Lepisosteus oculatus: one gene and its partners. The protein of the gene in region 2 purifies or fractionates together with the protein of the main gene of each other region. This does not show direct contact. Links are inferred from orthologs where the notes say so. Each region holds a gene or a part of one and is shown on either strand. Other genes may lie near its edges. The genes, in order: rfc5, rpa1, rfc1 and tipin.

What was found.
Region 1: the proteins of rpa1 (region 2) and rfc5 purify together in Homo sapiens (affinity purification with mass spectrometry; 3 studies listed by BioGRID and IntAct, with this or other methods). This does not show direct contact. The link is inferred for Lepisosteus oculatus from reciprocal best matches to the Homo sapiens genes RPA1 and RFC5.
Region 3: the proteins of rpa1 (region 2) and rfc1 purify together in Homo sapiens (affinity purification with mass spectrometry; 3 studies listed by BioGRID, with this or other methods). This does not show direct contact. The link is inferred for Lepisosteus oculatus from reciprocal best matches to the Homo sapiens genes RPA1 and RFC1.
Region 4: the proteins of rpa1 (region 2) and tipin purify together in Homo sapiens (affinity purification with western blotting; 4 studies listed by BioGRID and IntAct, with this or other methods). This does not show direct contact. The link is inferred for Lepisosteus oculatus from reciprocal best matches to the Homo sapiens genes RPA1 and TIPIN.

The regions. Positions count from the first base shown.
Region 1 is NC_090717.1:4,488,256-4,495,357, forward strand, and holds the start of rfc5 (replication factor C subunit 5), read right to left. Parts: upstream 3,009-7,102; 5' UTR 2,873-3,008; coding exon 2,826-2,872; intron 2,224-2,825; coding exon 2,159-2,223; intron 1,709-2,158; coding exon 1,572-1,708; intron 1,113-1,571; coding exon 1,033-1,112; intron 503-1,032; coding exon 429-502; intron 192-428; coding exon 32-191; intron 1-31. Other genes in the region: ksr2 (kinase suppressor of Ras 2), read left to right, coding at 6,031-6,207. UniProt on the Homo sapiens protein: Subunit of the replication factor C (RFC) complex which acts during elongation of primed DNA templates by DNA polymerases delta and epsilon, and is necessary for ATP-dependent loading of proliferating cell nuclear antigen (PCNA) onto primed DNA.
Region 2 is NC_090721.1:10,065,172-10,072,332, reverse strand, and holds the start of rpa1 (replication protein A 70 kDa DNA-binding subunit), read right to left. Parts: upstream 3,012-7,161; 5' UTR 2,845-3,011; coding exon 2,812-2,844; intron 1,908-2,811; coding exon 1,860-1,907; intron 1,762-1,859; coding exon 1,683-1,761; intron 896-1,682; coding exon 787-895; intron 484-786; coding exon 395-483; intron 1-394. Other genes in the region: smyd4 (SET and MYND domain-containing protein 4), read left to right, coding at 3,296-3,429, 4,387-4,531, 5,537-5,626, 6,469-7,161. UniProt on the Homo sapiens protein: As part of the heterotrimeric replication protein A complex (RPA/RP-A), binds and stabilizes single-stranded DNA intermediates that form during DNA replication or upon DNA stress.
Region 3 is NC_090696.1:68,398,574-68,405,936, reverse strand, and holds the start of rfc1 (replication factor C subunit 1), read right to left. Parts: upstream 3,005-7,363; 5' UTR 2,918-3,004; coding exon 2,915-2,917; intron 1,856-2,914; coding exon 1,736-1,855; intron 238-1,735; coding exon 171-237; intron 1-170. Other genes in the region: klb (beta-klotho), read left to right, coding at 5,683-6,411. UniProt on the Homo sapiens protein: Subunit of the replication factor C (RFC) complex which acts during elongation of primed DNA templates by DNA polymerases delta and epsilon, and is necessary for ATP-dependent loading of proliferating cell nuclear antigen (PCNA) onto primed DNA.
Region 4 is NC_090700.1:47,710,259-47,718,229, forward strand, and holds the start of tipin (TIMELESS-interacting protein), read right to left. Parts: upstream 3,010-7,971; 5' UTR 2,887-3,009; coding exon 2,873-2,886; intron 2,229-2,872; coding exon 2,068-2,228; intron 1,409-2,067; coding exon 1,315-1,408; intron 897-1,314; coding exon 821-896; intron 243-820; coding exon 120-242; intron 1-119. Other genes in the region: map2k1 (dual specificity mitogen-activated protein kinase kinase 1), read left to right, coding at 6,779-6,861.

The DNA of each region.
Region 1 (7,102 bases), on a different chromosome or scaffold from region 2:
GAACACAATCGTGCTCTGCTATTGTACTCACTTCTCCTGCTGGATGACATACTCCAGTCTGGGGACCATCTGCTCCTGAGAAAGTGGGCCGAAACGGAACCGGGTGCATCGAGACTGCAGAGCAGGGATGATCTTGGACAAGTAATTACAGATCAAACAAAACCGCGTGTTTTCCGTGAACTTCTCAATCACTGCCAGGGGACAGACAGACAGAAAGAAAGAAAAGAATTGACCTGCAGCTTAATAAAACAAAACTCACAACATGCTTAGAATATGCCAGCATTGTTTTCTCATGACAAGGTAAGGCTATCTTTGGAAGTGAGATCATTATTTGTTATGCTGTTGGCTGGTACCATAGACTGCAGAAATTACTCCAAGTCCTTGGACATTTGGCGCACAGTGTGAAGGATAGCAAAACAGATGGCTACCTCTTCTCAAAGCGTTCTGGGCGTCCTGGGTCATAGCGTCTGCTTCATCCAATATAACCAACTTAAACCCTTTCCTAAAAAGTGATAACACAGAACAGACATTTAGAGATGTTTTTCTTTCATACAAGAGGTTTACTACGGTTCTGAACGTGACAAAAGACTGTAACTGAACAGTATGTTTAGTTGCACTGTTTATACTGCTACAATAGGTACACATATATAGTGCACAGGCTGATGCCAAATACTATCAAATTCTTACTTTCCCATATTATAAAACAATTTTAAGGCAGAGCAATTGTATCTATTCAGAACATATGCCTTGTCACTTCAAGCATCTTCAAAATTTGAAGCACCATCCCAAATCCTGCCTATGAGTTGTATGTCAGCTGGAATGAGAGCATTCCTGTGGTTTTCAAAGGCCTATACAAAACAATGATAGGCATTTTACAGTGTTAGACAATGGTAAAACTTCAAAACAAATCTGACCTGTACAAATGCTCTTCTTTTCAGAAATGGGATTGTGCACTCACTTTTGTCGTACACTATTAATATTAATAATTAATGAAACACATGTAACTGACAAAATAAATAACAGGCTTCTCACTTAAAGATGGTTCTAGTGCTGGAAAAACTCAGAATGGGTCCTCGGACAACATCAATGCCTCTGTCATCAGAAGCATTCAGCTAAACAAAAATAAGGACACTTGTAAGTTCATGGCTTCCGACACTAGGTTTGTAACACCATATAATCACACAAAGTATTCCATTATATACTATATGTTATAACACATTGATACTACCAATCTGATATTGTACTGCTCATTCATTTGTAGCGGTGGTTCGTACTAAAGGTTTCCATAAATTATCAATGAGCATAGCACATGGTTGCTCCACTTAAGTCATTCAGAGCTCAGCTAACAAAAACACAAAAATCAGAAGACTGTACGGGACAATCAGCATGATGGACACCACAGCTCTAGAGCATATAGGTCTGGTTAAATAGACACGGTATGTTTAAGCAATAATTGCAACAATGAGACAGCTACAGCCAATGAACACTGACTGACATTCAGATACCATGTTCTGCATAGAGACTGCTAGGTTTGACTGTCCAATGTTTTGTGCAGTGAGTGGCTCAAGTACCTCTAAGACCATGGAGCTGAATTCTTTATCCTTATAGAGCTGTTTGGCACAGGCCAGGATGGTGGAGGTCTTCCCTGTCCCTGGAGGGCCGTAGAAGAGGAGATGTGGCAGCCGATCTTCACTAATAAATTTCTGGACTAAAAAAAAAAGATAACCTGGAGCAAATGCCTTAGAAAAACAGAAACCGTAAAACACTGACATTTCTAAAACCATCTCTCTAATGGTTAACTTAATACCTAACTGTAGTTTCTGTCAATGTCATGAATTTAATAGGTGAAACGAAGAGGCCACTGAACTCACAGGTTGTCAACATTTACATCCAGTACAGCAGTAGGGAATAAATAGTACGCTATACCTAAAGGTGAGGCTTTTCAAAAACCTGAGCTCAACATGGGAAAAAATATGAAAAGTTAGGAGGCAGATGACCTGTCGCAGCGCCTATTTGTCAACACAAACCACAACAGAAATAGCTCATGAAGTTCAACACCAGCTGAAGGATGCAGATATCTGGAAGTGTAGAATAAAACGTTATAAAACGGTAATTCAAACCACAGCGTTGATGATAAGGGGGGCAAAAACACACATACTTGTACTGAGGATGTCCTGATGGGATATCAGATCGTCTAGGGTCTGTGGCCTGTATTTCTCAACCCTGAAAGACAACAATCGTGAGCCCTGCAATAGCAACCTGCACATCAACAGAAACATTTTTACCGTCCGTTGAATTTTTACCTTCTAGTAACGAACACAGACTTGCGGATCGGCATCAACGGTATGTGGCCGGCATGGCTGTACTGTGTGTCAGGAACTCGAACACTAGACTTCCCATTAAAACTGACCTGACAGCTGACCGGCAATATGCAGTGTCGACTATAGCATGTGATGTAACGCACAATTGGAAGTTATGTCTACACTAATTTTACACTGCATTGTCGCTTTTTTAATTAGGTCTTTATTCTCCATCGAAACCAGGCATGGAAAGCAAGAAGAAAGAATAATGAATCTGTATAATTATCTGATTTCACAGTAGGGCATGAGTAATTGGTGCGATATAATGCCGTGATTAAGTACCAAAAGTGCAGTTCTCGACTTCGTACACTCCAAAGAAGGGATTCTCCAAATTATCTGATGTGACTGACAATCGTACATTTTTGGATTGTGATCGCTAGATGTGTTCAGCATTTTTTTAAACACAGAACCAGTAACGAACACAATGATCAGGCAAGGTAAATTAGCTCAACTAGGTGGACTTACCATGGTAAGTTTCTTGACTGTAACGGCGTCTTACTGGTTGAAGCCATGTTTTAAAATAAATGTTATATAACTAATACTGAACACATTAACCCTATATTTCATACATTCTCTGCAGTTGGCGCGCTTTACTACGTAAATTTGTGTATACACGCCTTTCTGGCTGCTGGACAAAGTGCTTTACGGCAATACATTGTCCAGTCAGATCCGGACTTTGAGACGAAGAGGCGGCGCTCACTCTAATGGAAAGTGTTGGTAACCTAGCAATTGTAACGTAAAATGGTTGTCGGCGCCCAGTTAGACGACAGCGTCGTACTAAGCTTTTTTTCTGTCTGTTGCTCTTCCAGAGTACTATAAAGATATTTCTTTAAATTGTTTAAAGAACACTCTTTATTTTTGCAACATTACATTGTCTAGTTATAAAAGTGACAAATCATCCTAGAAATGTTGTGCATCCAAAAATGGGTGATTATAAAATAAAAATAAATAGCACAGCTTGATATGGAAGCGTTAACGTGCATGCGTTAAGCAGAAGGGATTTAATCATAAAACCAACAATATCCTCAGAAGAAGTCAAAATCCGTCCTACCAGATTAAATACAGAAAACTCGTGCGAGGCAAATCCCCCACCGATAATAATAAAATCGTATTTTTGATCCCTTTTCCACATCTCTTTGTTTCTAAAGAGTAAGTAAAGGCTTTTGACACAACCCCCCTCCCCTAAACCCAACCCGCCCCTGTAGTTAATTTCTCCACTTATTCCTCAGTGCAACATAACTGAATATAGTTAGAATTTTACAGTGGCTTTGCTTAATGACCTTGACACATAGTGCTTTAATTTAATACACGGTTTCAGATTAAAATGTTAATACAATATTTTATCTTATTTTTTATTTTAAAATTGTATTTTATATTTACCAGTGAATAATAATAAAAGAGATTAAGTTCCTTGCTGCTTTGTAAGACAATGCCTCACAAAAAGGTTCTTAGGTTCTGAGATGAGCTATTCTATTTTATCTTTTTCCAAGGGGGGGTTGTCTCAGTTGTACATTCATAATAAGTGTGGTTTCGCCTCACTCTGCAGGTGACAGTGATAAAATGTCAAAAGAATTTATAGCAGGAATAAAGCTCCCTCATTTGGAGTGACATGTTTATTTTGTGTCCCAAAATGTTTATTCCTCCTATCCTTCAAATACGAACTGTCGCACTGTGTCCACTGAAAAGGGAACAATACTGCACCTGTCCTAAACTGTGTTCTGTAGCCTCAATCACACAAGTTTGGCATCTGTTCTACAAAAAAACACAAATGATCTATTATCTTAACACAGCTGGGAATGACAAAAGCAGGCTCATTTTGGGTGAAAAAAACAATGTATCATTATTATTCATTTATCCAGAACAACTTGCATTTGTACAGGTAGACATTTTACTGAAGCTTCTCCCCAATCCATTTTCTAACCACTCCTTCCAATTCAGGATCGTGAGGGATGAGAAGCACTGGACGGGACACCAGTTTCCCAAAAAGCCAATTAACCTACCAGTATGTTTTTGGACAGTAGGAGGAAACCCACACGAACCCAGGACCCTAGCACTGCACTGTGCCAGTGTGCAGCTGAAATACGTAACTCAAAGGTGCAATGGAAATACTCCTGGGATATGAACCTACAACACTCCAGTTATGAATCCTAAACACTACTCCTCACTGCTGCACAATGGAATGCCAACACACAACATTACATACTCTATGCTTATTTGTTTTCTTAAAATAAGACATTTTCCTAGGGTTAACACTGTTTATATACGATTTTGTCTTTGTAGCCAATACTTGTATCACATTCTCTATTTTCCCTGTAGTTTTACCAGTATTTGTTTCCCTCTCATAACGTTTCATGTACATATAGAAGTGAATCATTTTGAAGTTCATCAAAATAAACGTGACACCTAGTTTTTCAATCTAATCAACAGAACCACATTCACAGAACAAAAACTCAAGTCCAATCAGTTCTGTAGCCATAATGAGGTCAATATCAATTACCACTGTAGTATGAAGTGATGTTTAATTACTATTATTTTCCAAGACGTAATGACAGCGTGGAGAGATGCCACTTCACGCTTTGTAAATGCGTCCAAATTAATTTTGATCTAGACTATCTAGCTAAATATGTTGCTACAGTATGTATTAAGCCGCCACAATATATTTAAATTCTTAATGGCAAATCGATATAACTACCATACTAACATTTCAAATATATCACCCTAGGTATTCAGCTGGATGTGTTATGTCAAAACATCTAAAAGAGAGCAAACAAGAGTTTAAAACAAGAAACTTCACTGGATATACAGTAGGTGGAAAAGCAGAATTAAAAAAAAAACACCGGATTGATTACATTAATAAGGTTGCGTGCAAATGAACTTGACGTCTCTCCTCGGAGACAGAAGTATGTGCCAATAAAACTATTCTTGTCCACAAAAAAAAATCACTTGACAACTACAGTAAATTTAGCTCAAAGGTTGGAGAGTTGAAACAGTGAGCTCACTGCGATGAGGGAAGCCTTATATCTCGCGAGAACCCCGCTCCTCTCCAAGCTCGCTCGGTGCTGCTGCCTCTGTCGCCGTTGCTGCTATTGCTGTGGATTTGATTGACAGGCAACATGTCGGTGTGGAAGCAGAGAGCCGGGATGCAGCTGTTGGCACGAGAGACAGAGAGCACCTGCACACAGTGCTTACACCAATAATATTAAAACGCCGTCTCGTCTCTGTCCATTGTGCAATGCTGAGCTAAATACTTACTCTTACTTATTTAAGCGTCCAAATACTCCATGGAGCCAGCTGAAGCAGACGCTCTGTTTTAAATGTATTTCTCCTGAATTTCTGTTATATTGTGTCTGACTGAGCCCTCAACATCAGTACCGCTGCCTACCTGAACTGCTCTGATGAAACCAAGCAGTTCCACTTCGGCAGGAGATAAAAAAGGAAGACTACAATGGAGTCGCCGTCAAAATAATATCTTTTTAAACAACAGCAACAACAAAAAACCATTTTGATTAATAAAATTAGTTTAATTTAATTTATTTCGGATTTAATTTATTTGGGAATTCTTACTGCATTTTTTAATCATTGGTGGGATTTTTTTTTCTCCCATCCGATTCTTTTGTAATTCCGACAAAATAAAACCAGAGTTAGACAAGGGGATCCGTGCTCGCAAACTATGGATGAGGAAAATATGACAAAAAGCGAAGAGCATCATTTGAGTTTGCAAAAAGCCTTGCAGCAGTGCGAACTGGTGCAAAATATGATAGACATCAGCATCTCCAGTTTGGAGGGGCTGAGGACCAAATGTGCCACATCCAACGACTTGACACAAAAAGAAATAAGAACCCTGGAGGTAAGCTTGAAATTAACTCGTGTTTTCATTATTATTGCAACCAAATTCGTGCGCATTGAAGACAGGAGGTGCTTCTGCTTATTCATTTCTTCATTTGCTGTTTTTCCCAGTAAAATAGTTCAGTGGATGGCTTTTAAAATCCCGGTTTTCGCCCTTTTGTGCCGATATTTGTTTATTTATCTGGGTTGGCGTGCAGTGTAATAAATTAAGAAGCTGCAGTCAGCCGATATGAGCTTGCGCATTCTGCAGGTGGTGGAGAAAGGTGGATCGAGCGTTTTATTTCTAAGCAGATTTTCTCTGCAAAACGCTGAGGCCTGAATTGTTTCTAAGCATTTTGCAACACAGACGACCGCATTACCTCGGCTGTACAGTACGATCTGTGGCAGCGATCCCAGTACAGCGACGCTTTTTTTTCATTTGTATTTCTTTTGAAAGGTTTGATTTTTTTTAAATGGTCGTTGACCCATTTGTAGCAAATGAGAGGGAATCCTAACAAAAACCCAGCGTTGCGTAATAGATGTGGCTACTGGTCGTGTGTTTATAATGTTGAAGCTGTGTGTTTCGTGAAAGCTTTGTAAATATTAAAGGAGTGATGCATTCATATTACACATGTTCTTGTCTGTTATTTAAACCTGCGATTCCCTAATGGCCACGTCTGTAGGCGGGGAATTTTAAAACATTCACAGGATTGAAGCGGGGTCGTGTGTCTCTGTACTTGGAGTGCATTTGTTTTACCACAGCTGGACAAAAATGAGGAAAAAAAACATTCTTGTATTTTTTTTAAACGCAACAGATATTTTAATGATCAATACAATGTGAAATATTTCTTAATATTTTTAGTTTTTTTACCGACCCCCTCTTGTACGCAAGATACAGCTTTTGCCGTTTTCAGATG
Region 2 (7,161 bases):
AGCAATAGAAGTCGAGCCAAGAAAACCAGGCAACAGGCTGTTGTTTAAAGAGTAGGGGTGTTAGCCTGGCGTCCTGGCCAAATTCCCCCTGGTCTTTACCCATCATGGCCTCCTAATAATCCCCATCTCTGAACTGGCTTCATCACTCTGCTCTCCTCCCCACTGAGAGCTGGTGTGTGGGGAGAGGACTGGTGCATCATCCAGGTGGGGCTGCACACTGGTGGGGGTGGAGGGGATCCCCATTACCTGTAAAGCGCTTTGAGTGGAGTGTCCAGAAAAGCACTATATAAGTGTAAGGAATTATTTAGGACTTCTTAAATTGCCATCTTTTTACAGAACATCCTGGATTCCTACTGCGACACCCAACACATGCTGCACGCGTCTCATTCCTTACCTTCTCCGTAAGGGACCGGGTCCCCAATCTTCCCGCCCACGTCGGACGCTGACTTCAGAACCTCCACGTCGACGATGATCACCACACGCCTGGGCGCCCCAAGAGCCAGAAAACAGAGCAACTGCTTAGGACCGCCCGCGCTTGCAGCCCGGAGGAGACAGCTCCCACCCAGCGCCAAGCTTTCAGGTTCTCATTGTGGCCTGAAAGCTGAGCTCCTCAAACCCCACCTCAACAAGAGTTCATAAACCTGGGGGACGAATGCACTCCTAGCAGGGCTTGGACTTCACTGTACTTCAAGACCAACAATGACAGAAGTGCTCCTGTCCTTCTCTCTCTGTCTTTGCACCGGCAGGAATCTTTTACGTCTGGGCATGCCAGGCGGCACGACTCACCTGCCATCCTTCAGGGTGTTGTGGACGTTCCTCTTGATCTGGCAGATGCAGTTCGAAGACACGGTGTTCTGCTCCACCAGGTGGTTCAGCTGCGTGGCCAGCATGAAGGCTGTGCCAAGGAGGAAGATTTCGGGGTGAAAAAAAACAAACATGCACAGTGATGCCCTGGACTCCAGGGAGAAGGAGCTGGACGAGGAGTTTGAGGCGGCCGATGACGCATGAGCTTTTCAACAGACCTGTGCAGGAGCCCCAGGGAGCCCTCAACTACACCGCCTCCCTGTAGTTTCAAACCCAAATATCAGACCCTTTACTTGTCACGATTAAAAAAATGTGCAAGTACCAGTTATAAATCATTTAACAATACTTTAGGTAACAGGGCTCTCTTTGACACCTGAAGTCTGGAAGACACAGAGAGGAGAGAACACTTCTCACACAACCAGAACTTGCAGAAGCAAAACAACCAGGACCAAAGGAAAGTGGAGCAGAGCACAGTGAGACTGGGTCCATCTCTGCCATTCAAACCGACTCTGGATCAACTAGGAAAAGCTCCTAAAATTTCCCCAAGCTAAAAAATTCTGAATTTATTACATGTAAAATCAAGTTTACGACCTTAAACCATAACCTTCTCCAGAGCTTAATGAGCAAAGACTTGAGCAGCCACCAAGACTTAAGCACCACAATAAGGAGCAATACAACTATCAAAAGGACTTAAATTCAAAGGCAGATGCAAGATGCTTCCCCGCCAGCAGGACACACTGCTTGTTCCCCGTCTTTAAGAAGAAAGAGACATATTCCAGAGGACCGACAGTCTCCTGAGGTTCCAATCTAAACCCAACCGATGGGAGCCGACTACTGCCCGGCTGAAACAGGCCCAATACCGCTGCTGCTGTACTCACAGGACATGGTGTGCACCCCGTCGCTCATCATCATCCGGAACCGGACCGGCCCGGCGCTGCTCTCGATGCGCCGGATGTTCTGGTTGGGAGGGGGGAGGGGACACAGGTCAGATCTCAGCGATGCTGCAACAAGGGCAAACAGATCTCGGATCTCGGATCAGATGGGTCCGTACTCACCACCACCTGCAGGACCATGTTGGGCACGTCGCTGCCCTTGGTCAGAGCCTGGGGGGACAGAGAGTGAGGAGGGGGGGTCAGCCAGGCCTGGCAGTGTGTATCAAATATCAAACCCGAGATACAGATGAACTGAAACTGGAATTATGAATGCACAGCTACACAATTCTATCCCTCTTCCTTAATCATAAAAAACTTCCTTACTTTGAATGCATATAGCCCAGTTAGAATGAACTAAGATGTAAAGCATTAAGAGAACAGACAAGAACATACACAGATGAAAAATTCGTTTATGTGTATATTAGCACATGTCTATTATAAAATGATGCCTGCGGCACGTCGTCAGTACCTGTACAAACATCAAGCCCGTCCTCAGACAGGCTGGGTGCCGCTCTCGGCCAGCTGAAGTCCCAGTAACCACTGACTGAAGTCTGAGAGCTAACGAGCTCCTGCCAGTGTAGGACTTGCGGTGGGAAATTAAAACACTCAGCCTACAGACAGCTACAGCAACGACCCCAGACCCCGAGCCGTTCGCCTTCAGTTCTGGAAGCAGTGTTTCGCTCTGGCCAACATGCAATGCAAGCAGGTGTTTGTTTTGTTACAGAATGGCGTTTATCAAGCTTGCACTTTATTTAACGGGTGCTCCCGGAGGTCATGGCTGTTGTGAGCCGTGGAGCGGTTTTATTAATCCAGCGCCGGCGCGAAGGCCCGCGACACGGCTCGGAGACCAACTACACGCCCGATTCGCAGGAGCAGGGCTCTGCTTGCATCGCTTAGAAAGAGTCAAAAACAACTGGGGGTGTTACATCACCGACGAAACCCAGTAAAGCAATTCACTGCGATCGATATTGAGCGACTAGGAAAAAATATTTATCAAGTGCGACATCAGAAAGAACTCTCCGCTAGTGTGGATAATAACTACAAACTACTGCATCCACCCCCGAAAATCACCTACCTCAATGGCTCCTTCGGTAAGTTTGACAGTCATAGCGAGCAAAAGAAATCAGATTTTAACCAAAAAAAACTCTCCTTGAAAACTCAAAGACGGGTGAATACGCCTCTCTCCTCTGCAGGTCCGTATTCCGTGGCGCCAAGTTTTGGCTGTAGAGCGCGCGCGGAGTGTGTTTATAACTCTCCCGACGTCACGCGCCAAATTCCGCCGGCTACGGCGGGTCTTGAGCATGCGCGGTCCGTGCTCGGCGGAGACAGTCCCTCCCCGTTCGTCGGATTGGCGGGGAAAGCGCTCCCGCGAAACGGGCGCCATTGTGGCTCGAAGCTATGTAAATATAAGGGAGATTGGAGCCAAGATGGAGGATCTCTCAAAAGTGGGATCTATCACCCTTGACCGGAGAGTGCTGCTGGGTTTGTAATGTGTGTGCCCCGCTGCATGCAGAGATCCAATAGCTAGGCGTTAGTTTTATCATTTTTTTCAAGAAACAATGGATTTGCCGTGCCCCGAGTGGCAGAGACATGTCGAACAGAAGTGGAAGCTTTTGCCTTCCGTCCAAAAGCAGGCGTTCACGTCGCTCACCGAGCCGGCGGAGATGTATGCTTTCTGCGTCACGTTGGTGAAGTGAGTACAGCTCGCGTCCTGTCTCTGTCAGTGTAGAAAGTCTTGAATGAAAGTGTCGCAAGTGTACCTCTGAATTATCCCTTTTGGGATCGGGCTCAGTCTTGCTCGTGTGCAAACTGCACATCTAATTCATTAGCTGTTTTGCGCACCGTGGATAATCAGCCGAGGGATCAGTCCAAATCCTGTATCTGTGCAAAAATATTTACTTTTTTAAAGTTTACTAATAAAAAAAACTATAGCATGAATTTTGATTTTTAATTGAAAAAACCTGGAGTATGTGACAACTGTACAGTAAAAAAATGCTTGTTTGCAGATTATAATAATAATTGCTTACATTTATATAGCGCTTTTCTGGACACTCCACTCAAAGCGCTTTACAGGTAATGGGGATCCCCTCCACCCCCACCAGTGTGCAGCCCCACCTGGATGATGCACCAGTCCTCTCCCCACACACCAGCTCTCAGTGGGGAGGAGAGCAGAGTGATGAAGCCAGTTCAGAGATGGGGGTTATTAGGAGGTCATGATGGGTAAGGGCCAATGGGAAATTTGGCCAGGACACTGGGGTTACACCCCTACTCTTTTCAAGAAACGCCCTGGGATTTTTAATGCCCACAGAGAGTCAGGACCTCGGTTTTACATCCCATCCAAAGGACGGCACCTTTTAACAGTATAGTGCCCCCGTATCTATACTGGGCCATTAGGACCCACACAGACCGCAGGGTGAGCGCCCCCTGCTGGCCCCTCTCACACCCCAAACGGGCAGCAGTGAAACTGCAGCCCTGCTCTGTGAAGGAAGCAGCGCTCTTCCTGGCTCTGCGGTCGTTAAAAAGTAGTTATCTCAAGTCAACCGCATGTTGAAGCGTCTTCAGCTGGGGCGGCGCTGCTTCAGTGCCGAGGCGGACGAAGGCCTGATGCTCTTTCTTTCTCTCTCCCTCCCTCCCTCCCTCGCCCCGTCAGCGGTGAAGATGCGGCGCTGCTGTCGCGCGCGGCGCGAGGACGCTCCGTGCGCAAGAGCCCGGACTGCGCGCGCCTGCTCAGGGAGCAGGGGAACGGGAAGTTCAAGGCACGAGACTACCTGGGGGCACTGCTGCGCTATTCTAAGGTCACCGGTCCCGTTTCATTTACAGGCACACCCGGCTCTGCTCACGCGTCAGCTGCGCAGTCTCTGTTACCTGACATTGCTGCTTCATTATTTGTATTCATTTTTATTTGGCTGGTGCTTGCACCCACAGCAGGTTTTAAAAAAAAAAGTATTTATGCATAACAGAATAACAAAAATTACAATACAAACAAGAGCGCATATAACAGTTCAAGACAAAAAGATCGCCAGGGGTACATACTACTACATAACTTCAAGTTAGGAAAAAAGATTAAACAAATTAAATAAACATAATGTCTGCACTGCTTTCATATTTGTGTCTGCAAATACCCCCCTTACATCCATTTTAAAATGCTCAAGCATTTTATGTATATAATAACGTGCCATTAGAATAATTACATTTATTACCAACGAAATTTTAATATTGTTTTCGATGGGGCTGAAACTCAACATAACATCTTTTTTCATCGATATTGATATTGGTTTCTTTTTTAATATAAGTCTGCAGCTTAGTCCAGAAAAGCAAAGCAGCTTATGTTTGTAATCATTGTACTGGAGGCATGTCTCAGTGCAGTACTGGGGCTGAGGGGTATGATCGCACTGGGGATTCGAACCCACACACCTTCCAGCTGGGAGTCCAGGTGCCTGACTGCGCCCCCAGACTGCTGGCGCTCGGCACCTCTTACAGAGCTGGCCGTGCAGGGTCTGGGCCTGTCTGGCTGCCCAGCAGATGAGGGTCATGTGTTTCGTGCTCCAGTCCTGCGCCTTGTAAGACTCCAGGACAGCTGTCCTGGCGGCGTGGGGCACCCCAGGGGCGGACATCGCCCTGCGCCCCTCCCCCAGCGCCGTTCCGCTGACGCTGCATTCGGAAACCCGGCTCCCGGCCTGCTTGAGCGCTCATGTGTCCGATGCCGTTGCAGTTCTGCGAGCGGCCAGGAGGTGGCGCCAGAGTGGTGGTGGTGGTGGGGGGGTGGCCCTCTCACAGTCTAGTCCTTGCTCTCTCCGCAGGGCGTGTGCCAGGCGGACCCGGGCAGCCAGGAGCTGGCCCTGTGCCTGGCCAACCGCTCCGCTGCGCTCTTCCACCTCGCCCAGTACCAGGTGAGCGCCAGAAGCCTGCACGCTGCACGCTGCACGCTGGGTTTAGTGTGAGCTTTCGGGCAAAGGTAAAGCTCGGGTTGGGGTCACGGAGCTTTTAAATGGCTGAATGAAGCGCTGGCGTGTGGGCCTTGGAGTTACCCTCCTATGGGCCCGCCCTGTGTCAGAGGATCAACCCCCAGAGCTGACTGGAGGTCAGAAGGGCTCCCCCTTGGGCGTGGGCTGAACCCCACTGTGCGATCTCTGAGCTAAGATACGCTGAACTCTGTTGTCCCCCAGGGGAAAGGTTTTACTGACGCACAGCGGCTCTGTACATCTAAATACATCCCCTCTGTTACACACGCATAACTCGTTGCAACAGTTCCATCACATTACACATACATATTTTACAGCACGCTCAGTTTATACACAGTTGCATTTATCCTTGCCAATTATTTGCATTAATTACTTTTAATAGATTAGACATAAGAGAGAGAACACATTATTATCTGATCAACATCTGGGAGCCCTGAAATGTTTGCCAGAGGTTCTGATGTGCAGAATTAAGAATATAAAAAGGGATCTGATGTACTTGTTTCCCTCCTGGTTAATCACGGAGGAGAGCTGCATCAGTCCCATAACCTTCGCTGCTGTTTGGACAGGACGGGTGATTTTTGATCTTGATTGGACCCATAAATGACCAAACCACACCGCTGCACCATGTCTAGTTAGGCTCTCGGTGACAGCGTGGTAAGAGAAGAACGGGTCAGAACTCGGACGGCGCCGGGTGGTTGCTGTGGTACGTGGTGACAGACGTCCCGGGTTGTTGTGGGTCCGATCCGAAAACCAGCTGCTTGTTTTCGCAGGAGTGCCTGCGGGACATCCGCAGGGCGCTGAGCCAGGGCTACCCCGGACACCTGGAGCCCAAGCTGCTGGCCAGGCGGGCAGAGTGCCTCTCTCAGCTCGAGCGGGCAAGGGAGGAGGAGGAGGAGGGCAGTGCCAGTGCGGAGATCCGTACCGCCGGGGAAGGGGTTATGGAGCGCCAGGCACCGCAGGCACAGAGCGGCAGGCTGACCGGGACCCTGCTCTGCGCGTCTCCTGCCGTAGCCCTGCGCTTCGGCCACGGCAAGGGTCGCCACCTGCTGGCCGCGGCCGACATTGCGCCCGGGGAGGTGGTGGTGCAAGAGGAGGCGTTCAGCTGCGTGCTGATCCCCGAGGAAGCGGTCAGACCCGCGGTGGAGAGGGGGGCCGCGGGCACGGAGGACTGGCACTGCCATCGCTGCCTGCGCAGGGCGCTCTCCCCTGTGCCTTGCCAGGGCTGCAGTTACGCCCGTTACTGCGGGGAGGAATGTCGAGAGCAGGCGTGGGAGGGGTGCCATCGCTGGGAGTGCCCGCTTGGGGGGGAGCTGCTGGCGGCGGGGGTGCTGGCACACTTGGCACTCCGGGTGGCACTGCAGGCCGGGTGCGAGGAAATCAAGAGAGTGCAGGACCAGGGCAGGGGGGACGAAGAAACTCTGGACAGGATGAGCACCAGGGAAAAGTCTGATCAACCTGATGTG
Region 3 (7,363 bases), on a different chromosome or scaffold from region 2:
CCAAGAAACAATAAGTATCAGCACGCTGGCCTGAAGGCCTAAACTCCAGCTGACCCACATCACAGAAATTCAATTCTGCCATTAATAGAGGAAATGTGCGAGACCAGAGTGTGGGCCATCATCAGAGCCATCCGTCTGCCATGTCAGGAGGGGACTTCAAGCGGACACACCTGAGTTGATGATGTTACGTTTCCTTCGCTTTACCGATGACTTATCATCACTTTTGGGACTCTTCCCCTGAAACACACAACACAGATGCAGATGAGGAAACAGATAAGGTTCTCAATGCACTGCAGTCTGACCCATTTCTGGTTGATGAACTGCATGATCATCAAGAATCCCAACATCCACAGATGCTGAGATGTTCAGGTTTATTAATTTAATTTACCTTATACAGTACATTTGTACACCCAGTACTGCAATACTACTAATGAAACACACTGCTTTCTGGCTTTAGTAGTGACCTACAGCTGTTGAAACCTGTCAAACTGTTTTGTAACAGAAGTGATGCGTTCCCTTAAAGATGAGGTCCATCCCAATGGATGGGGACAATTTCCCTTTAAAATGAACACTGTCAATTTTCACCTGAGATCAATGAAAGGATCTATAGGAACTGCTAAAAAACAAAACAAAAACATCTTTGAGACAACCATGCAGATTTCGGAACCTGTCACTTTCTATACAGGCTAGAATGGTGACCCCTGGTTTGTAAGCTTGCTCAAGTAGTTTCTCAACGCTGATTTGCACCATTCAGTGCCTGTTATTGTGTTTTAACACGTATTTCGTGCTGAAAGGGGAACTGCACTCCCAATTTCTCATACTGGTTATTAGATCTCAGTAACAAAATAAATGCATTGACTTTATAAAAAGATTTACAAATTCCAAATTAAGCATACAATTGTGAACTTTCTAGAAAGCACTAAGTCTCAATGTTGTCACAAACTCGCATTCGAGTTCCCACTAATTGAGACGTGATGTTGCCCTTCCTGCTCACTAGTCACTATAATGACTAATGTAGTGCGATGTATGAGCAAATAAGTACAGGTTGTACCGCAGCTATTTCACCTCAGAAATGTTCCAATGTCATCTGCGTGCAGAGCTAACAAATAAGTAGCATTTGTCAGCAAAACCGTCACAAAATCGAGAGCAATATTTCTACTGGATTAAAATTGGATTCAAAAGCCTGTTTGTTTACAATGTAAAAAGCTGCATCACGTCACCGGAAGTTTTGTTGTCTCATTCTGAATCGCAGGACTCAGCGCCGTGGATACTTGGAAATTTCATCTATATTGTGGTGTAACAAAATTTTTGCAAACTACTTTTACTGTGGTTGGAAATGCACTCACCCAAGTGATTCTTTTGAACCACGGAACTATAAAAACAGTGTTGAAGTTCCCCTTTAAGGACTTGCCAACACCAAGATGTTATTGTTGTCCACATTACAATCTGGACTAGACGGGACCCAGACTAGAACGCAGCTGGGACCCACCCTCCAAGCCCAATTTCCCTACCCCAGATTTGCTGTTTGATTTATGTGGGGTAAATGCCAAACACCCCCCAACAGAATCATGATTCAGAACCGGGCCTGGCTGCAGCGACCTGTGGGCGAGTCCAGAGCTCTTTCATTGAATCCAGGCCTGCGTGCCATGCCTTGCGGACATACACGAAGACCTCTGGGACACGCTGGCCCAGACAGGTGACCGCTCTCTCTATCAGTTTCCTGTCAAGCACTGACCTTGGATCCAGACTTTTTCACCTTCACATCACCCTCAGCTTTGGAGGACCTGTTCTTTGTCAGCCTCTCCTTCTCCCCAGCTTGGTTTTGCAACTGAGACTGGAAATACTTTCTTATGTCCTGCAAACGATACACACGGCCACGCAAGGTTAGCACTCCGAACCAAAATAACGTGTCAGTTGGTCCCCCGTCATGAGAGCTGGACTTTCCAACCTGGCTGAATGCGAGAGTGGGACAATGTTGGTTTTTTTTAAAAAAAAGATCTGTACACGATAGGGAAATTTGTATTTGATCTGTTTTACATTAGGAAATACTCAACAAGTTCTCTCAATACAAATGCTTTATGAGCATCCTGTAATGAGGTGAGAAACAGCCACGGGATTCATGTGGATGCAGCTACTGTAAGGTTGAACCCAAAAGGATCTGCATATGTGAAAACTAGGGATGTCCAACACGGGTCCCGGAAGGCTACAGTCTTCTACACAACCCCCAATTACTTAACTGTTACAATCAGCCCCTGCAGTTCACTCGTCTTTGACATGTGGACAGGAAGAACATATGTGCACATCTGCAATTTCCCCTCCCGCGTACCCAGAGCTTTGGTAATTGACTCTCCCGTATCTCTCAGTTTTCCAGCTAAGGGGTTTTGAAACGTGCAGCATTTAACAGAATTGATTTTGAAAGCAATTATTGAATTATAAATTCGTCACAGCTGTGATAACTCTACCGAATCAAAACATCGTTCCAGTCAAACGACAGATCGCAGATCTGCAGCGCACGATATTTTTAGTAAGCGCAATGTACATTCTAAATCGAAATGTACTTTGCGAATCCGTATGCGTTCAGAAAAACAGTATTACATTGAGCACGTTTCTCGAACGTCTTAATGCGATTAGTCTCTGTTTCTGCAAGCGCACACCTCTTTTAGTGCATGAGAACTACGCATTCATGTTAAGTGCCAACTCTAAGAAAAAATGTGTGTGTTAGATGCTTGCAAAAATAAGGCATTTTTGCAAAAGGTGTGAATAAAGTACTACCCCACCACTTTAATTTAAATCTCGGTTTAAGCCAGAGCTACTTCCAAGTCAAACGTACTTCTCTGTAAGCGAAATGGCACATTTCGAAACTTGCAGCTGTAACAGTGCTTGCAAAGCCACGAACGCCGCAAGTTATACTCACCATCGTATATTATATACGATTTCTTGAATGTTTAAAGCCAGTGTGCACCTCCAGTGCTCTTCCAGCTTGGCGCCAAGTGCATTCCTCCCAGGTCGCTGAGAAATGACGCAAGCCGCGGCCGCTGTCAGCGCGAGGCGGGCCGAGGGTGCCTGCGCAGTGCGGCCCTGAAGCTGCGGAGGAGCGCGCCGCAGACGGACAGGTGCAGCGCGCGTGCTGGACATGCACCCTATTGCCATGTGCACAACAGCGTTTGTGTTATTGTAGTTTTAGACATGGCCAATGGTCTTTTCAGTTCTCCTGATATTAGTATATAGCTGTCAATATACTGCAACATTTTTGGCGTGCCAGTATTGAATGCCCTTTGACCTATGTTCATCCAGCTGCGGTGCATTTTTTTAAGTTCCTTTCCATGTACTATGCCGATCTGGTATCATTTTCAAACTTGATTAGTTCATTTAAATGATTTAGGAAGAACAGACACCTATATCTCCCGAAATGTAGCTTTTGCTGCACAGCTCATCTGTGCTCTCAATTTTCTATTAACCAATGCTGTATCCAATTTCACGCTTAATACCATCATGTTGTAGGAGACTCTAATTTTGCAAACTCGACTAGTTTTCCATAATAGTTAGAGGTGTTTGGAGGAGCAGTAATCATTATACAAATCCCAGTGGGCATATAATTAATAATTAATAAATTAACAAATAACACCAATTTGAGTATTCACCCCTTATCAGTACCCAGTTTTCTGTCTATTAGCCAGCTCACAATCCAGGTACACACAGTTCATTGAATGTCTGACACCTGCAATTTGAGTATTAATCTGGCAGGAGGAAATTCATCAAAAGCCCTCCAAAAATCTAAATATACCAAACAGTGTGCTGACATATCCATTAGTGTTGTTGCTTGTTCAAAGAACTCTAACAAGTTGTACCTTTCCGCTAGAATCTATTTTGATCATATCCTGTTTAGGTCTCTAATTATATTCTCCCAGTCCTGGCCAAATTTCCCCCTGGCCTTTACCAGTCATGGCCTCCTAATAATCCCCATTAATAAACTGTGTTCATCGCTCTGTTCTCCTCCCCACTGAGAACTGGTGTGTGGGGAGCGTACTGGTGCACTGTGGCTGCTGTCGCATCATCCAGCTGGGGCTCCTTATTGGTGGTAGTGGAGGGGAGTCTCCATTACCTGTAATACACTTTGAGTGGAGTTTCTAGAAAAGTGTACATATAAGTGTAAGGAATAATTATTGGCAGTAATAGTACTTTCAGAATGGTACACAGTGGAAATATTTTTATATAGTTTTACATATATACTGTACATCACACATTTTAGTATTATAAAATAGTAGTTTTATTGTCTGTAGTCTGTAATTGTTTACACAGAGTTTTAATTTGAATTTTTAAATTGTCATATTTCATTATCTGCTCTTGCCAGCATAAACAGCAAATGAAACTTCAATTAAAGAAATAACTGATGGCAAAACACTGAAATCAAATGTGAGCTCTAATTAGGAGGGTCTGGACACTGTCAATGAGTTTAAATGAGTCCTGTTTCATCTGAAATTTACGATGCCCTCTCCTGCAAGTCACATTTAATCTATCTTCTGGAAGAAGAAAGAGCCAGACGAGATTTTTTTCCAAATATCCCTTTAATTCTTTTCACATAGCCCTGAAAGGGCGATGAAAGAAAAATGATCAAATATCCCCTAGGCTTAGACAAAGTCTGAATTCACACAGTATGGCCCATGAAATTAGTACAGAACATTTAAATATATTCCCAGGAGAAATACTGTATTTGTAGCTCATCACTCGAAAAATAAATTGTATCTGTTTCTAATCTGAGTGAGAGATTGATTCAGTGTCCCTGAAAAATCTGTAAAGAGTTAAAAAAACAATTGACAACAAATAATCAGTTTTTGAATGTTTTGGTACAATGTGAGAAGAAGGCAAAATATTTACAATTGACTTATTATGTATATATGGTAAAATTACCACCTACCAATATATTGTATTATATCCACATCCACATTGGATAAAGCAATGTGGTCTTAGCAAAACAATATTGCTTTTGTAGGACAATGTAATATCTGTTCATAGCTGATGAGGTAAATGATTGGCTTGTCACGTGGTTTAAACATTTATGTTAAACCAGTCATTTGACATTACCCAAAAGATGACATCCTCTGTGCAAGAAGTATTTGCACAGAAAAGAAGGTGAGACCCTTCCAGTGGTGGTCCAAGCTTGCTGCTCTTCCACTCCAAATTGTTTTTTTAAATCCTGTCATTTTCACTGGCTGCTTCTTGCCAGTCTCCAGTGAACGCCGATATTTGCTCAACACCTGCAGTGAAGGGGGTCTCTCAGATGGCATGCAGTCTCTGTGCACCGTGTGTGCACATACAGTGCTCTGCCTGCTCAGCCTGTGTGTCTTTATTCCGTTGTGCTGCAAGTGTGTGTGTGTCTGAGCAGTCTCCCAGGGCAGAGCGTGCTAGGAGCCGCCGAGCTGCCTTCCCGGAGCACACTTCTCCCTCCTAACTCATCCTTGGGATCACAGTTCAGGCTAATCATTGACAGAGGTCCAACTTGCAACAGAAGATTGTTGTGTTTTTTTTTCCCACTGGCACGATAAGGCAGTCCAGCAGCTCAGGTCTTCAGATGGCCCCAGCTCAGCTTGGCTGAGCTCTCGTGTGCTTTCCCTGTCCTCTGCTCCAGCCGTCATGCTCGTCTCCCTCGGTTTGGGCTGGATCTGAGTCCCAGGGGAGCACAGGATGGGTCCCCTTGCTTTAAAAAGCCTGTTTGTGCTGCTCCTGTGTAGCCGGGGGGCCGTGGTCTGCCTGCCAGGAGATGGACGAGCCGTGTGGAGAGCGCAGTCCAGCTCAACCCCCGTGGACGCCAGCCAGCTGTTCCTGCACGGCACGTTCCCCCAGGACTTCCTCTGGGGAGCCGGGAGCGCCGCTTTTCCGAGCGAGGGAGCCTGGGACCAGGACGGCAAGGGCCCCTCCATTTGGGATCACTTCACTCGCTCCCAGCAGGCTCCGGGGTCTGGCACCTCCAGCGACAGCTACAGGCTGTGGGAGCAGGACGTGGAGCTGCTGAAGCACCTAGGGGTGCGGACCTACAGTTTCTCCATTTCGTGGCCCCGGCTGTTCCCCAACGGGACCGGCGGGGCCCCCAACCTGCCGGGGGTGGAGCACTACAATCTGCTGATTGACCGGCTGAAGCAGGAGGGCATCGAGCCCGTGGTCACCCTCTACCACTGGGACCTGCCCCTGGCACTCCAGCAGCGCCACAGCGGGTGGCACAGCGACGCCCTGGTGGATGACTTCGAGAGCTATGCCGCCTTCTGCTTCCAGAGCTTCGGGGATCGCGTCAAGTACTGGGTGACAATGCACAACCCCTACGCGGTGGCCTGGCACGGCTATGGGACAGGCGTGCATGCCCCCGGAGAGAGAGGGAACCTCACAGCTGTCTTTGCTGTGGCTCACAATCTAATCAAGGTGAGGTAGCGCGGCTGATAAGACGTAATGGGTTTTTTTTTTCCGTGCCTGATCTATCTGCAGCCTGGCATCATTCATTCAAGGACCCAGTCGCTCTCACACAAAGCCTGACTTTGTTTCTCAAGTGAAGCTGCTGCGGTTGCCTTTTTGTTATGTGCACTGCATAGTCTGCTCTACGGGTCAGTCATAATGATTATTTATTTAAGGCTCAGTGGAGAATGGGGAAGGGAATGCACAGACAGCATAGCATACACTTCTCCAGCGCCTATGATTTATTTATCATGATAGTCAGGACTTTGGTCTTTTGGTTCAGACACCGAGAGGTAATGAAATCCATAGGGGAGGATTCTGAAGAGTTCAGTTCTTTTCCATTTGTTTTTAGAATTGTTCTTTAAACCTCAATTCCCCTGTTTCCTGCATTTTGCAGCAACAGCCCAACTTCATCTTGTATAATAGTGATAGCTTGACAAACACAGATCACTGTAGTTTTTAAAGCTCGTGCTAAAACAAAACTCATTTAAAACTTGCCGCGTGTCTGAATGAAACAACATCAGCCCACACTGCTGGCTTCATTTTCTCACCCTGACAAAGACAGAATTAGGAGTCTCAGAATAATCCTAAAAACTAATTTCCTGTATTTTATATATAAATATAACCTGCAAGGAATAACCTGCTGTTGTCATGTGCCTCAAAAACATGGTTATATTAAACATTGTTCAGATTTTCCAAAGCAGCCTGTTTAGAGTTTGAGTACCTATCAAAATCTTTACTTAATACATAACCAGCAACAATTACTTCCAATTCTTTCAACTGCCATTTTGCAGTGACTCTTTTACTGCTTTCTCGTGTTGTACTATGCCCACACCAGAAAAGGCACACCACTTAAATGACACGTAAGTGAAGAAATGAGATTTAAAAACAGGAATTAAAGTCCGGGAATTATGACAGTCTT
Region 4 (7,971 bases), on a different chromosome or scaffold from region 2:
AGAAACACAAGAAGTCACCTGTTACTGATCAGATTTCTGCAGTCTTGGGAACAGAACTGGAGCCATTTTACATCTAAAAAAAAGCATCAGCTTCCTCTACTGCAGCGCTCCAGTCTCACCTGGACTTCTTTCTTACTTCCCAGAGACTCCAGTTTGTCAATGAAGTCGTCAAACTGTAGTTTCGGGTATAATCTGTGGGCCCAGTTCTCCATTTTCTGGATCAACAGCTTCAGGTCTTCAGCCTGTGAAACACAAAAGGGAAGGCATTTGTTACTGCTACCACCAGGGGGCAGCAACACAGCTCTCTTGTAACAAACTGAACAAAAATCAAAACACCTATTGAATACCCATTTTACATAGAAGAATACATCTGTGCATTTAAACAGCCTCGCATTTTATCAACTGTGCATAGTACACAAACTGTAAGGAAAGTTAGTAAAAGAGGAACCACTTGACCCAACACAACCAGCACAGATACTTTCCCCCCAATTGAACCCTGCTTCACTTGAGAAAGGAATTGACAAAGACAATTCAAAGACCTTCACAGCTTTCCTGCACCAGATCAGTTCTAGGAACTTGAAAGAACTCCTTGAAGTACATCCGTACTACTTAAAAAAACCACCCTTTTCAGAATCCCCCCCCCAACACAAACACGTTCCCAACAGAGCTACACTGCTACAGATGCTCATGAATGCAGGGATGCTGCACAGTGGCTCATGTCACAAGCACATTAATGAACGAGATGCAGAGCTGTGGTCATGGCGGCGGCGCCTGGGAAACAGACTTGGCTAGAAAGTGATGCACGCAGCAGAGCTCTCACCTCGTGTCCTTTGCCTTTGAATCTTACATTGTCGAATAAGGTGCGCAGAGCTGGAAGTCCTCTTTCAGACACTAGCCTAAAAAACCCCACACTCAACATTAATGCACAGCACGTACACAGCGCACGTACAAAGGGGATGTTCTCCGTCGGCATACTTCATTCATTAATGAACAGAACTACAGCCGCGGCCGCAATCTGTACCCGTGTTGCACTCCGGCAAAAAACAGAACACGTCAAACCTACAGTACGTGCCTGAATCAGCTGCTGAAACAAGCAAGCAGCTCCAGAAAACAGCCCACAGGAAAAGGAAGGAACTCGATCAAACGTGTGGCCATCATATTCAATTGTTCTCCTTATTAAATGGGTACAGCTATAAGAACTCAGAATTTAGATTCCAAGCAAAAGACTCCGTTTGTAATAAAGGCTATTTATTAGCCGAGAGACCCGACGAACCTTTTCAAAGAGCCAGTTCTGTTGGCGCGCTCGCCACATACCTTTGGGAATCAAGCTTCGGCTGAGGTCTCTTCACAGCCCTCCTCTTGGCAATGGGGGCTTCATCTAACCTGGACGTCTCTCCCGCGTCCTCCCCTTGAAACACAGAAGAGGTCAGGTCCACTACACTGGACATGAGAAGTCTTCCGCAGCAGGCTATAGCCAGCCTCATGGACCTGCAGCTCCTGGCAGACTTTGTAAATGGATCTCCCACATCAGAGCCGATCGGCAATCTTTCAAGCACACTCCGAAAGATACGATGTACAGTGCCTATTTGCTATAATCATCTCTGAAGAAATCAGAGAAGGCTGCCGTGTCAGCATGCGTAGGCTGCAAAGGAACAGGTAAAGGTTGATTCCATGGTGAAAGCAAAAGACAAGAAACTGTTTGGAGCCTTCTTCAGGCGTGTTAGCTCTTTACACACCAAAAGAGGCCTTTTTACCTCCTACAGATTTGGTTCTATTTGATGTTATAGATCATTGTAGCCCCTGCGAAATACACAGAACATGCCATTTAAGGTGAACTATACGGTTTAATTCATTAAACACACTGACAGCCTCCAACATATAAAAGGCCTTCAGCCAGTCTCTGGTCTACTATTTCTGCTAATGCACGTCTCCAAAGCCGAACCCCTGCATGAGGAAGGCTAAGCAGGAGCTTGATTTCCTCGGTTAACCTCGGGGAAGTGCCAGAGACCGCCGGGGGCCACTGTGGCCCCTGCCGCGTCAGCCCAGACCGCGGCGCGGGGCTCTCACCGTTGGGAAGGTCGTCGCCGTCCCCGCCGGACCCCTCCCTGCCCGGGGACAGCGGGGGCGGCAGCGGAGGAAAGGCCTCGTCCTCGGTGTTCTCGTAGTCGGGAAGGTCAAACAGGCTGTTCTCCAGCGGGTCGATCATGGTGCAGCAGGCCCGGCGCGCCCTGGGGGGGACACAAGACAAGGGTCACTCCTGACGGCATTCCCACAGCCGCCGTCACCCACAGGTGGGCCGCCCGTCTCCGCTGCGCGAGGGGCCCGGCACAGGAGGACCCTGCAGCTTAAAACAGACAACGTGCCTGCGGTAGGTCTCGGCCAAGACCAGAGGCCTGGTGTCGGATACTCGGAGACCCTGCTTGACCACAGTTTTTCCAGATTATCAGAGATGGTAAGGAGAGGCACAGTGGCGCAGCGGACAGCCTTGCTGCCTCACAGTGTGGGGACCCTGGGTCCAGCTCCCGGGGTGCTCTCTGTATGCTCAGCCTGGGTTTCCTACACAGTCCAAAGACATACCGATGGGTTAGTCGGCTTCTGAGAAAACCGGCCCTGACGTGGGTGCGTGTTTGCCCTGCAATGTGCGATGGACTGGTGCCGTGTCCAGGGTGTACTCTGGCTAGTGTCCATTACTTGCCAGGATAGGCTCCGAGCCCGTATTGAATAAAGCGGTTATTACAGGGATGATTAAATTGAGAAAAGCAGCTCCTTTACTTTGGCCTTCCATGGAAGCCATCACATATTCCTCTCAAAGTCATATGTAGCCAACACTAACATTATCAGAAGAGCTTCCAGGAGTGAATATCGCAATTACCTTTCTGTTTCCATACGGACAAGCACTGAATGTAGTCAGCATCTTTTGCAAGACTTGAGTCTTTTACATATTTTGCCATTTTCCCCATCTGCGTGCAACATGCAGAGCACGCTGGGGTATGCAAAGAATTTCTAATGCAAGAAATTGTATATGGCCAATAAAGTGATCTTATTTCAAAATATCACCTTCCAACAGTTCTGTTCTTTCAAACCACGTTGATTCAGTCTGTCCAACACGTGGCTGGTACATGTTCCGTCGATGCACAGCGACCGATAAAATGTACACGTGAAACCACTCTCACGTGTTTTATATAGGAACTACAACTGCTTTATTGCCTGGGACTAGCAAAACGCGTCCAGCGCAATACGCTCTTCAGTGCCAACAATGAAATAAGACGGTCACATGACTGCACAGCTCATTTTAGAAAATACTTCCCTGTGGGGAGAGTGAAAAGCCTGGTTATCAAGACTGGCAACTCTTCGAAATCAGAGCGCATGTTCAGAACAATCCTCCCGCACTAATCCGGGAGGCTCAGCTTGTCCACAAGCAAGGACTCCGTGCGCTCACGACGCGGCTGGATAACGATCGACAAGTGGCAAAGATGTTAGCGAAACTAGCAGCGCGCGTTCAATCACAAATCTGCAGCTGGTCGCCGACACGCCCCTTCCGCAAAGCCCGGAAACTGCCCGGGTCTCGCACATGCGCACAGCGAGGAGCGACACAGCTCCCCTTCGAGTCTAGCTGAAAAGCGCGGCGTGGGGAGTTTGGCGTGTGAATTTCAGGCCTGGTAACAAGAAAGAGGGCTCGTTAAACATAGTAGCGTTATAACTAGGTTCAGAGCGTTCTCAGCTCTTTTTTCTTTAAGCTTTAGAGAAAGAGAAAATTTAACTGTTATTAGTTTATTCCAGCCAGGTCTTCAGAAAATGAGTTACTAGTTACGTGTAAAGTGTCGGACTGGGGTCTCTCCACGATGGCTAAATAGCGATTTCTTTTGTTCTGGCCGAACGGTGTAACGCCCTTGAAGAGCCAAAAGGTTCAGGAAATCTACCATCTCCTCGTGGCTCGGGGCTTTATCTGATTATTGCCCGTCTTTTCCATCTCAGCCACAACTAAACATGCCGGAGAGAAGGAAGGATGCACTTAACGTTCAGAGACGCCAACATCCCGTAAAAACAAAGGCCAGAAACTAAAGTCGCTTAAACTAACTCGTTGGGTTATAAAATGTATTGACTGACTCGGACCTAACCTTGAGCAGTACATCACTTTCTTCAAGAGGGTCAATAAGGTGGTACAATGGTGAGCATTGCTGCCTCGCAGCGCTGGGGCCCTGGGTTCAATTTCAGATCGGGGGTGCTGCATGGATGGAGTTTGTATGTTCTCCCCGTGTTCACACCATCCAAAGACATGCTGGCTTCTGGGGAAACTTGCCCCGTGAGCTGTAATGGACTGGTGTCCTGTCCTGCGAATACCCTGCCTAGAGCCCGTTGCCTGCCGGGATAGCCCCGGCTCCCCTGCAACCCTGTTTTAGATGAAGCGGTTGAAAATGGATGGTAGATTCAATTCAATTTACACAGGTATCCATGCCTATCATTGTCCACCGCAGATTCGACACAGGCTGGGTAAAAACTACACGGCCATTCACGTTCTGTAGCAAGAACCTCTTCAATCTTCCCCCAAAAAAGTCAAACCAACTTTCCAAACGGCAAGAAAGTGTGCAGGCCGACGCCGAAGAAGCTTTGTAAACGTTTGTCTGTAGGCGTACTGACGTAAAAGCTGCAATAGCATTAGGTAGATGTGTACGGCCCACAGAAATCACGAAACGAGTTTAGGCTTTAACAAAAATTGAAAATAGACGTACTAGGTCTGTTGACAGTGCCCAAAAACACAATGGCAAAGTGCCTTCTTACACACAAAAGCGACCTCACGCTTTCTGCACAATTATTGAATCGCAGCAGTGGACAACAGAAAACCCAACACATTTGTGTTTTGTTACTTTATAAAACTATCGCTACACAACACCGTGAGTTATATATACAAGAAAGCGACTTAACTTACCGGACCACAACAACACAGCAAGGCCGACTACGCTCGTGAACTCGAAATAAAGGAGAAACTCCGCGAAAAACGGCGACGGAAACAATGAACCAACGAGTAGATAACGCAAAAGAAGACGCTCACTGACCTATTATTATTATTATTATTATTATTATTATTCGATAAATCAAGTATTCATCTACAACAGTGGTAAGAAGAGGACTGTCCGCTTTTATCCAAGCGAGTCTCTTCTCCCCGCCGGTTCTGCAACCAACAGCCAATCACATCTTAGAACCACACTGACCAATTAGATCTCTCTACAGGGCGACCACGAGTCCGTTCTATCCAATCAGCGCTTCCTATTTTGAGGGGGCTGGGCTTCCATGCAAATGCAGGGCTCTGTTTTTTTTCGATCAGTGTTATAAAATGTTCCTGCTGTAGGTGGAACGGGCGAAGGTTTATTCCGTGCAGGCCGAAAGGAGAAGAAAAGAGACACAACGTTTCGGCTGTGGAGCCTTCAGGAATATTCAGCATGAAATAAACCTTTACCTGTTCCCTCGCAGCCTACAAATGCTGACGCAGCAACATTTTCGAACTTTTTCCATCTTTCTGGTTGTTGACTTTTTACAGTCTTCCAAATCTGGACCAATGTTCAGTTTTGCTTGTCTACATAAGTGACGTAGTTACCCAATCGTTTATTCTCTGTGAGCAGATTTGATTGGTGACTTTCCTTAACGTGGGTGAGGTTCTGCACATAAAAGCTGCAATGATTCTATCATTACGTTACACTCAAATAATCCGCCTTAAGATCACTTTATTAGCCATGCACAATTTCTTGCATTAGGAATTTGTCTTTTCGCGCACCCCAGCTTGCTCTCCATTAATTATCACGTGTTGCGCTTAATTCGGTGTAATATCTTTGTTTTGAGCTACAAGGTTTATTTTGACAGCGTGATCTTTAATTCATTCATTCATGCAACAATAAAGAAAGAAAATAGGCAGTACAGTGTGACATCCTGCCAACTTCACACGCTGCACACGGATCGTACAGCCAGAACTGCTACTAGAAAAGAAGAAGATACCAGAAGACCCGATGATCCAAGAATTTAACGTCCTCAAAGGCATTGACAAACACAGTGGCCCTCGTCAAGAGGTGAAACACGAACCAGACGTGGTTCATTTTAGAACCGAGAACGGGTACAGGGACGTCTTTACAAAAAGGGCTGTGGGGGTGTGGAACAAGCTATCCAGCCATCTGGTGAAGCCGATACCCTGGCTTCCTTCTATAAACGACTGGATGAGATGCTTGGAGTGTTAAGGTACTGAAGACCAAACGGGTCAGACGTGCCGAATGACTGTCTGGTTTCGTTTGTAATCCTTTTTTATGTTCTCACGGTTCTTTATCCCGTACTACAGTACAGTTCATTCAAAACTGTCGAGCCAGAACTCGCCGGGAGGGGGAGCTCTCCCCAAAGACGCCGTCCCCAAGCTCGCAGGAAGACTAATGTAAATATTTTCGTGACGTACACCTTCACAGTCATTGGCTGTCAGCAAATAGGGAGAAAAAATGTTACTGAAACATAAAGAGACTATCCACCCATAGAGAAATTCTGGGTATCAGTGGAAGGAGGAAGGCGAGTCTTCATCCGCCGCTTACAGCTTTTTTTAGCGATAGCAGGCTTTACTGTGTAACAGGCTGCACTCTTGGGTAGGATAGCGGCACTATTTCTTTGAAATATCATTGCATTATTAACTCTTGTCTGGGAGTCTTGCACTAGTAGATACCCTCCCTCCCAGCGCCTGTAACTCGCCAGTTCGTGATTTATTCAGGGGTTCCTGTAGTCGGGTAATTTGTCGCTGATTTTCTAAAAAATGCAAAAGAGGAGGAAGCCGGAGCCGATTCAGCTCAACCCAGCTCCTGATGGCAACACTGTCAACGGTACCAGCGCCACGGAGTAAGTTCTAATCTTTTAAAAGCTACAATGACGTTTTCCTCCTTGTTTCGGAATCGGGTGATCTGTGTGGCTCTGCTCTCTGCTCACTAGCGCCGTATATCTAAATATCCTGCTTGGGGTGTTTTTTTTTTGTTTTCATTGCGAGGCTCTATTTTGTAATTTCTTCTTTTTTTTTTTAAATGAATACATATGACATGTGTCTGTGCTGTTACATGGGTGACTCCCCCACCTCACCCCCGAAAATAAAGAGGAGTATCTTGCGAGGACCCCAGTGGTGTCGTGACATCAGGAGTGGTTCCGCTGAACCGCTCCATTCCCAGGAATTTTAATAGGAGTTACAGAGTGGAATGCTAAAGGCTGTCCTGGGGTTCCTGCTGGTTTCACTGAGGTTTAACTAGTCCATAGCCCATTTGGATCTGTGTGTTTCCTGCGTGTGTACATGTTACTGGATGTTTTTCTTCCCTCCTTCTCCCGCTGAGTATTTTTAAACTGTTGTGACTATTAATGTTGTTGATGCAAATCCTCAATACCTGCTTGCAACGCCTACAACTTATTGATCCACTTTGTTTTCTCTGATGGTGTGTACGTCTTTTTGTTGTGTGTGTGTGTATATACACTTCCATTAATGTCAAATCAGTAATCTGTGCTAAAACATTTTTGCATCTATGTCCGTATCTGTTAAGGACACAAAACACCTCTCTGTAATAGAGCCAGACGTAGCTGCAGTGGATAGGTACAGTATATGAGTGGGGGCTAGTGTTGTGTGGTAAGTTTGGCACTTGTTCTGTTTGTGAATGATACAGCAACCATGGCCTGTGGGATTGTAGCTCACCCTGGGCACAGAATCTGTCTGAAGGATTTGTTAGTACTGGGAGATGCTGAGGAGCACTGGTCACAGACAGCCTGGATGTGTCCCCTAGGTCAGGTGTCCAGCAGCTGGCCTGCTCACAGCAGAGTTGCGATGCCCAGTACCCCTCCATTTCTCTTAACAGCTTTTCGCTTGGGCAAAACAGGGGGTAAAAAGGTGCCCTCTGGAAAGTTGATGAACTGGGCGAAATTTACAGCCTCCACTCTCCGCACCCTCCCTCTCTGTGAGATCAGCCATTGTGG